Macaca fascicularis: one gene and its partner. Each later gene encodes a partner of the first gene's protein in a complex. Links are inferred from orthologs where the notes say so. Each region holds a gene or a part of one and is shown in the gene's direction. Other genes may lie near its edges. The genes, in order: NTSR1 and NTS.

Evidence for each region.
Region 2: the proteins of NTSR1 (region 1) and NTS are in contact, whole or in part, in a crystal structure (PDB 4BUO), measured with the Rattus norvegicus proteins. The link is inferred for Macaca fascicularis from reciprocal best matches to the Homo sapiens genes NTSR1 and NTS. Residues at the interface, in NP_001102437.1 of Rattus norvegicus: Ser53, Asp54, Leu55, Asp56, Asn58, Phe128, His132, His133, Tyr146, Met208, Val224, Cys225, Thr226, Pro227, Ile238, Arg327, Arg328, Phe331, Cys332, Tyr333, Ile334, Ser335, Asp336, Trp339, Phe344, Tyr347, His348, Tyr351; in NP_001095851.1 of Rattus norvegicus: Arg157, Arg158, Pro159, Tyr160, Ile161, Leu162.

What each region holds. Positions count from the first base shown.
Region 1 is NC_088384.1:118,771,631-118,776,130, forward strand, and holds the start of NTSR1 (neurotensin receptor type 1), read left to right. Parts: upstream 1-1,530; 5' UTR 1,531-2,039; coding exon 2,040-2,753; intron 2,754-4,500. UniProt on the Homo sapiens protein: G-protein coupled receptor for the tridecapeptide neurotensin (NTS). Signaling is effected via G proteins that activate a phosphatidylinositol-calcium second messenger system.
Region 2 is NC_088385.1:92,769,331-92,773,771, forward strand, and holds the start of NTS (neurotensin/neuromedin N), read left to right. Parts: upstream 1-1,593; 5' UTR 1,594-1,702; coding exon 1,703-1,775; intron 1,776-3,971; coding exon 3,972-4,033; intron 4,034-4,441. UniProt on the Homo sapiens protein: Neurotensin may play an endocrine or paracrine role in the regulation of fat metabolism. It causes contraction of smooth muscle.

The sequences.
Region 1 (4,500 bases):
GGTTGAACAGAGAAGCCCAAAGCAGGGCGAGAACGGATGAATAAGCATGGAGTCCCACTGCCAGCCATCAGCTCAGGAGCCTTGAATTCTCCTAGCTGGGTGGGCCCAGGAGGGGGTTCCTCAGCCTCCCACTTCCCTCAACACCCTGCAACGCCTGCCCCAGCCTGCCCAGGTTTCCTGCTCCCAGCACAACAGCTGCAGCCAGCAACGTCCACAAAGGCCAGGCTGGTTCCCCAGCCCTGCACACACGCAGCAGCAGCTCTACCCAACCTCTCCCAGGGGTTCTGGGGAGGAGGGAGCAGGGGAGGGGACGGGGAGGGCCTAGAGAAGGGACAGTAGTGCCCTGGGGGCTCCTGGGCAACCCAGACATGCAGGGGACAAGCTTGTGCCTGGTCACCTATGCCAGTGCTACCAGTGCTATGCCAGTGCTACCAGTGCTATGCCAGTGCTACCAGTGCTATGCCAGTGCTACCAGGCGCTGCGGGGACAGGGAAAGGACAAGAATCTCGCTCTCACGTGGCTCCCGAGCCAGGGGCAGGGGCACCCTGTGAGGCGCTCCGAGGGAGGGAGTGTGCAAAGCCTGCAGGGCCTGTGAGGAGGCCCTGACGCGTGCTGTGGGGCTGCCCCTCCCAAATCCTGCTGGGGTGTGGGCTCTCAGGGTGACTTCTGATGACAAATCCAGGCAGTAATAAGGGACCCAGGGGATCACATCCCATAGCATCATGAGACCGGCCCAGGGTGCCAGGTGCGGGGCCCTGAGTGGGGAGGGTGCTGTTCTGGGCACCTGCTTTCCGCCCTCCCTCATTAACCCCTCCCTAGACTTTGATGAAACCATCTGTGGCTCCTGGCCTCTGCAGGACCCAGCCCCTCAGCTCCTCAGCCTCTGCAGGACCCAGCCCCTCAGCTCCTCAGCCTCTGCAGGTGTCCCTCGGTACTGCCTCACGCCCCTGCCCCAGGTGATAACTATGCCCTGAGCCCCCACCATTCCCACTGGGCATATCCCAGAAATACGCATTCACAGACCAGGCACGCCCATGACTGCAGCTAGATTTTAAAAGGAATCACAAGAAATGTAATCTCTAGTGGTCCTGGAGACCCCCTGGGCACCCAGCTTCTGGCACCCTGTGGACACCCAGGAGTAGGGGGGCGGCCCAACCAGCTGCGCAGCCGCCCAGCCCTGCCAGCGGGGAGCTTCCTCCCTCCCTGCCCTCCGGATACACCCTCACCCCCACTGAGCGAGCCCAGGGTTGGGGGGGGTGCATAGTTCCCTTACTAGCCGGAGCGAGAAATTGCGGAGAACAGGGAAAAGGGTGGCAGGAAGGGCCCGGTGCACGATACCCGCCGCACCCGCCCGGAATCCTGGTTCCCTGGAGCGCTCAACCCAGCCCGCCCTGCCCCGGGGAGCGCGAGGGGGCGACCCGCCAGGCTGCACCCGGGTGGGGCGGGGACGACAGCGGGGGCTGCCTCCCTCCTCCGCCGCCACCCCCAACTGCTGGGCGCGCCGCGCGGCCGCCGGCTTCGTGGAGACGCGCAGAGCCGGGAGGGCGCGGGCGCGGCGGGAAGTGTGCGGGGCTAGGGTGCGCGGAGAGCGCGAGGGAGGAGATTCGGAGCGAGGGAGGGGAGCGCGCCGGGGCAGCCGTGCGTGCATTCCTCCCGGCGCCACAAGCTCGCCCCGCGCAGCCCGAGCCAGGCTGGGCGCTGTCCTCGGGAGCCTGGGGAACCGCGCGATTTGGAGATCAGAGGCACCCGGAACCGGTGGCAAGCGCCGAGCCCGGAGACAGCCCGAGGAACCGCGGAGTCTGGAGCCAGGAGCCCGGAGCTGGGAGTCCGGAGCTGGGAGTCCGGAGGAGCGCGGAGCCCGGAGCTCGGGGCGGCGCGTCTGGGTCTGGCGCTTCCCGGCTGGACGGCGCGCCCGCTGGTCTTCGCCACGCGCCCTCCTCTGGGCTCCCGTTCATCGGTCCCCGACTGAGACGTGCCCAATCCGCCCGGACTTCCAGCCCCGGAGGCGCGGGACAGAGCCGCGGACCCCAGCGCCCACCATGCGCCTCAACAGCTCCACGCCGGGAACCCCGGGCACGCCGGCCGCCGACCCCTTCCAGCGGGCGCAGGCAGGACTGGAGGCGGGGCTGCTAGCCCCGGGCTTCAGCAACGCTTCGGGCAACGCGTCGGAGCGCGTCCTGGCGGCACCCAGCAGCGAGCTGGACGTGAACACCGACATCTACTCCAAGGTGCTGGTGACCGCCGTGTACCTGGCGCTCTTCGTGGTGGGCACCGTGGGCAACACGGTGACGGCGTTCACGCTGGCGCGGAAGAAGTCGCTGCAGAGTCTGCAGAGCACGGTGCATTACCACCTGGGCAGCCTGGCGCTGTCCGACCTGCTCACCCTGCTGCTGGCCATGCCGGTGGAGCTGTACAACTTCATCTGGGTGCACCACCCCTGGGCCTTCGGCGACGCGGGCTGCCGCGGCTACTACTTCCTGCGCGACGCCTGCACCTACGCCACGGCCCTCAACGTGGCCAGCCTGAGTGTGGAGCGCTACCTGGCCATCTGCCACCCCTTCAAGGCCAAGACCCTCATGTCCCGAAGCCGCACCAAGAAGTTCATCAGCGCCATCTGGCTCGCCTCGGCCCTGCTGGCGGTGCCCATGCTGTTCACCATGGGCGAGCAGAACCGCAGCGCCGACGGCCAGCACGCCGGTGGCCTGGTGTGCACCCCCACCATCCACACCGCCACTGTCAAAGTCGTCATACAGGTAAGCCTCAGTAACCAGCCCCGGGGCTCCCCTCTCCTTCACCCCAAAAGCAACGCCAGTGGTGTGCCTTCTGGGTAGGGAGTGGGAGAGAGGTCACAGAGACAGTCTACTCCTGTGAGGCTGCGAAGGCGGTTGGGGCAGCTTGGGTGCAGCTCCGGAGTTGCCAGGCTCAGCCCCTATCTTCTCCCCTCCTGTTGAGGGGATGGAGCCCCTGCCTGTGACCTCCCTGGGGTTGGTGGCTGGGCCTCCGACGTCTGTGAATTCCTTAAGTTCTAATGGAAACATGTGCGCTGGCACCTGCGTCTCCAAAGGAAGGGGTCCCTTTCATCAGCTTCTCAAAAGGCTTTGTGCCCCCAACAGGTGACGTCCTCTCCTCTGCAGAGAAGCCCCCAGACTGACTCTGCCAGTGCCTCCCAACTGCCTGCCCTGACCCAAACTGGGGAGTCAGAGCAGAACCTGATGCCATCTTGGGCTGGTTCCTAGTTTAGCCTCAGCTTTCCCATCTGTATGATGGGGTAGTCTTAGCATTGACCTCAGAAGGTAGAGCATTTGAGAGAGAATGTATGGGAAGTGTTTGCATGGCCCCCGACACATAGAAGCGCTCACAGGTACTATTACTGCTGGATGGTGGGGACGATGTTTCTGCTGGGAAGGTTGTGAGGCTCTGCGGGTGGTGGTGGTGTTGTGGTGAGGTGCGTAAAACTGGAGCCGAGTGACCAAGGGCCCCCCAAGGGTCTGAGCAAAGCGCCGTAGGAATGCAGGTGGGAAGCCCCCTTGGGAATCAGTTTGGCTGAGGTTCGTGGCTGGAGGGGAGGACTGATCAAACCAAAGTCCCGAGCCGGAGGTTGGTGTCCAGGGAGGAAGTCAGGGCTGGTCGGGCACCTTGGATGGCACCTTGGACACGAGCAGCCTTCGAGGTGTGGGGTTTCTTCCATTTCTGGTGGGCTAAGGAAGCCAGAGGGTGAAGGATCCAGGCAGAGTCGCCCACCTCTGCCCAGCTAGAGGGGCTGGGGTGGCTGGCTGTCCCCCTGGCTCCCGACACACCAGCATCGGCAGCCTCCCAGCTAAGCTTCTGTAGTTGCCTGGGCAGCCCTCATATGCCAGTGTGCCCGGTGGGGGTGGGGGCAGCAGTGCCGGGCAGGGCGTCACCTGGGCCCTAACTGACCCTCCACTGGCCACCACCCAGGTGGACTGGGGGGTGGGGGGTAGAACTGAGCTCCCAGTCTCCCCGGCTGCACGAAGAACTGGTGGCAACAGGTGTCTCCTCTGGGGGAGGCCCCTCCCACAGACACTGGTAGCAGGCAGTGAGTCAGGGCTGCTTTGCCTCTGCCGCAAGAGTCCCTGCCCTCCCCAGAGGCAGAAGTAGGCACGGCCCGTGGGGTAAACGCAGTGATAAGTGACCTCTCGCTCCCTTTGAGGCTTCATCTGCTCTCCCCAAGCTCCTGCCTTTGATCGGCATTGGCCAGGGGCGTGGAGGGGCCCCAGGGGCGACAGCCACCCAATCCTTCGGAAGGTGAGCAGTGGAGGGGTCAGTGCTGTCACTGCCCACCCAGGAGGTGTCCCCGCTCAGACCCCTGATCCTCCCGCTCCCCTGGCAAAAGGCCAGGAGCTCACCAGCCTCCACAATCCTCGAAAACAAACAGCTGAAAAGCACAGGGGTGTGACGACAGCTCGGCTCCACCCCCAAGAAAGTGTCCTCCCTGGCGTGCGTGGGTTCTCTGCCGGGTACTTGGGATTGGGCACCTGT
Region 2 (4,441 bases), on another chromosome or scaffold:
TTGCTCCCCCTAATGGTAGGAAAGCAGAAAACATCTAAATGAATGTATTTCACATTTCTTTGTCAACCAAATACTTTACAGAAACTTTCCTCCACGTATGTTCGATATCGTATTTTATGTAAGTTCACAAAACAAACTAAAAGTAATAAATATATCATTTATTATTAAATTCCTGGTATTATATGAAAGACTCCTTACTATTCTGAGTAATTATTAAATGCTTGGAATTAATCTCTTTCCTTAAGTTTAGGGTAAAGGTGAAAAAGTTAAACTCATAGATTGTATAACATAAATCAGTTATCTATAGGCATCAATCCTATTTGTTTCTCAACTGTTACTATATGATTGATTTATTTAAAAATTAAACAATGCTCAGACAACTTTACATTCAAATATTCACATCTCTAACAGCATTGACTTGTCAAATCACCCCATGTATCTTGAAACGCTTACTACAAGAAGAAAGCTTTACTCTAAAAGGCATTTTGAGCAATTTTCTTTCAGAACTCAGACAAAGAATGGGTATCAGTGTAACCCATTAAAAACACGAAGACTATCATAGAAAAGTGACTTTGGTGAACGGTGGTTATTTAGGATTGTCTCCTTGCCAAAAATACAATCTCATTTTTATGATGAAAAGAGTATTATAACAGGGAAAGTAAGCTTATGCAATAGTAAAAACAGTTGAGAAGGGAATTATACAAAGAATGAGACATGGCATCAAGAATGAATTCAAAAAGAGCAGAAAAATATAGGCACAAAAAGAGATAATGTACAGAAAAAAAAAGTCAGTGATACAACAATACAAATTTTTATGTGCTAACATTTAAGTAATTTAGAGCTGGATTGTATAAACATGAAATTGTTTTTCTAATACATTCAACCAAAGTCAGCACACATAGTTCAGTCATCTCTCATTACTTACAATAAAATATTTTTGATTTGTTGGGAAATAATATCTTATTCCCTGGATCTATTATTTCTTTTTATTGGCTTTGTTTCTATTCTCTAAATTTATTTGCTTAATTTTTATAACTGATTCTCTGACTATATTCCATCTTATTCTAGCGTGGATTATTTAAAACCTGTATTAGTTTTGGAACCACTAAACATTTGCTCAGAAGTTTGAATTACCAGAAAAGCCCCTAACTCTTCAAGAACTTTCAAGCCTAAAGAATCACTGATTTAATGCATTCATCCTTGAGATTTTACTTAAAAATTAGAAATAACAGATCTCATATTTCACAAAATCAAAATGACTTTTGCAGTGGGGGAATGAGAAGTGGGAAAAGGTTGATACTGGGGGTTCTCTGTCAGTATGCTGTACATAGCAGTGCAGTTGAATGACTCCTTCTGTGCGTCAGAAATCCAAAGCAGCAGCAGCAGCAATTAGGGAAGATCGTCACTTTCACTCAAGGTTCAGAAATGGGGGAGGAGAGCAAAGGGGGACAAAGGAAAGGGGGAGGAGAAAGCAGGGCGAAGGGGGAAAGGATAGAGGTGAAGATAGGGCACATCCTGCAAAGATAATGCCTGTACAATCAATGACATCATCCTCCTGCTTATATATATAGGGGAATGGCCAGAGCACCTCTCATAGTTCACTCACTTTCAAAGCCAGCTGAAGGCAAGAGGAAGTGCTAGAGAGAGCCCCCTTCAGTGTGCTTCTGACTTTTATGGAATTGGCTTGTTAGAAGGCTGAAAGATGATGGCAGGAATGAAAATCCAGCTTGTATGCATGCTACTCCTGGCTTTCAGTTCCTGGAGTCTGTGCTCAGGTAAGCAAAACAGAATTTCACAACTCCCTGAAGTGATTTCTTTTTTCTCTTTTGCAGTGTGTTGCTACTTATGTTCATGTATCGAGGGAGAAGAGTTGCTCCCTTTTATTCAGGATTTACCTTTTAGTGACAGAAACTGAATATCTTTTTCTCTGCCTTTATGATTACTGAGAGCTGCATTTTCCCTTTTAAAATCTACAAAGCAATAAAAGGGATTTCAAGGAAACACTGCATGACCCCCTTTGGAATGCAACCACTAGAGGAAAAAAAAAAAAAAAAAAAAAAAACCTTACAAAACTTTCAATTAGGCTGATCATTATCTAATGAGAAGTACAGAGACAGTGGCTGTCAACCTGCAAACCCATCATTAAATCCCATTCCATTTAAAATGTTTTACTCTCATCCTCATTCAATCTCTTAGGAAACGGTGGCCCTCATGCCCTTGTAATAGTCCCCATATTATTTTCTTAATTGTTTGTGTTAAGATAACACATAAAGTGCAAATGGATGCTTACTGAAAAATGAATGAAGCATTATTTGTAGATTTTCATTTCTAGAAAAATACAAAAATATTCCAGATCTTTTTGAGAATACAGTTTGCATAGTCTAATAAGTATGCTATTAATATAACTGTTTGGCATTTTTTCCATGCCATTTAAGTTAATACAAAATACAGTTGGAGAATTGGTATTCTTATATTGATGGAAATGATTTGACTTCAGAGTGTTTTGCATGTGGTGTGAAAGGAGAAGTTATATAGTCCTAAATATCTATAAATAACACACTTTGAAAATAAGATTTAAATTGAAAGGTATAACATGAAATATTACAACTATTGCAAAAGGCTGTACTTAATATTTAAGAAATATTTGAATGACCACTTCAAAGGGAAAAGAACACCTTAGGAAGTAAATGCAGCAAAAATAATTTAATCTGCTCCGTGCTTTTATGTATCATAAATATGACATTGAAATGTTTAACTCAAACTCATGCTATCATTTGATTTAAATTATGACATTAAAATCTAAGAAGATATAAAAGTGATTTATGCAAAATTTTAAATTTATTTTAATCATCAGAACATAACTTTCAGCTTCTACTTTTCAAATCTTATGAGAAAAAACAAACTTTTCTACAATTGTGATTTTATCTGAAAGTTATATGAGATTAAAGATTCACATACTTCTGGAAGAAAAACTGGGTTATTGATTAAGCACTGTGATGATTAACTTGAAACTACTTGTTGTAATAATGCAAAACTTATGAGGATTTGAGTATACATTGTTCATAAATTCCTAAAACAGATTATGTCTCTAACAAATAAGGAGAGAAGATCTCTTGTATAATTTAGGTTCTAGGTAAAATTAAGCCAATAGTTTCTCCGATTCTGACATTTCTTTTTACTGAGTGTGAAGTACAAGAAAGATAGAGTCATTTTTAACTTGATTTTTATTACCGTACACTATTTTCTAAATTTTCCTTCTCTGTAAAATATTCATTAACAGAAACTTGGATAGAGTTTTAAAAAAAATCCAGAGACCCATTTTCAATACTATTGTACATGTATTGTTGAATAGCTCTACTTGTGCTTTAAACAATTTTCTTAAACACCTATGATAAAATTAAGGATACATAATTCCGAATTCTTACTTAAAGTACAAATACAATTCTTTCAACGTATGTTTTGTAAAAAAGCATCTCAAGTTAAGTAAATCTCAGTATCTGTATTATTCTAAAATTATCAGTAAGCAATTCCCTTTGGTTTTGTCTTGAAAAAGTCTCTTGTATAATCTTCATTATGTTGTGTTTTTAAATGTTAATATGCATATTTTCTATATAGGTAAACTATGGCTGGTAAGAAATAAACTACTCTAGCATATTTGGTAAAATATGTGTTATACAATATAATCACATTTTAAAAATCTGAAATTCAAAGTTTAAACAACTCGAAGTCATCAACAGCTGTCTGAACAAATAATCATATGCTTATTTTCTTAGAAGTGCTTCTACTATTTTAGCTTCCTATTATGCTAAAATATACCTAAAATTTGTTTTTTAAGATTACTATTTTTAAGAAAATACATAAGAAAGACATTAACCTCTAAGACTACTTTTTAAAATTAACCTAAAATCTGTAGATTATGATATAATTATATGATATGTGATTATAGTAAACTTGATTTTGATTTTACTCAGATTCAGAGGAGGAAATGAAAGCATTAGAAGCAGATTTATTGACCAGCATGCATACATCAAAGGTAACTTTTTCTTTTCTTTAACTCTGGGTTGAAGAACATATGAACTTTCATTATCAATATGGTATCCTTTTCCTTTAGTAATAACTTCCCATCCAGATTTAAAAGTTCCTTAAGAGGCATTTCCTTTTTGAAAAAAAAAAATTCTTTTAGTTAAAAGAAGTTAAAGGTGTTGATATGACAGCTAAAGAAATTATAGTTCTATCAATCAGTATTTTGCAATTTTAATTAATTGCCACACATATTTACGTGCCTGTAAATGTTTTTAAAGGAACTTGTTTCCATGCCTTTTACATTGGGTATGATGAAAGGTATATTGGTCTCAGTTTAAATGAAAACAAAGTGAGCTCTTTGCCTTTGTTTATTATATTGGGGGAAATAAAAAGTTGTTTTTTTATTTCCTTAAATTAG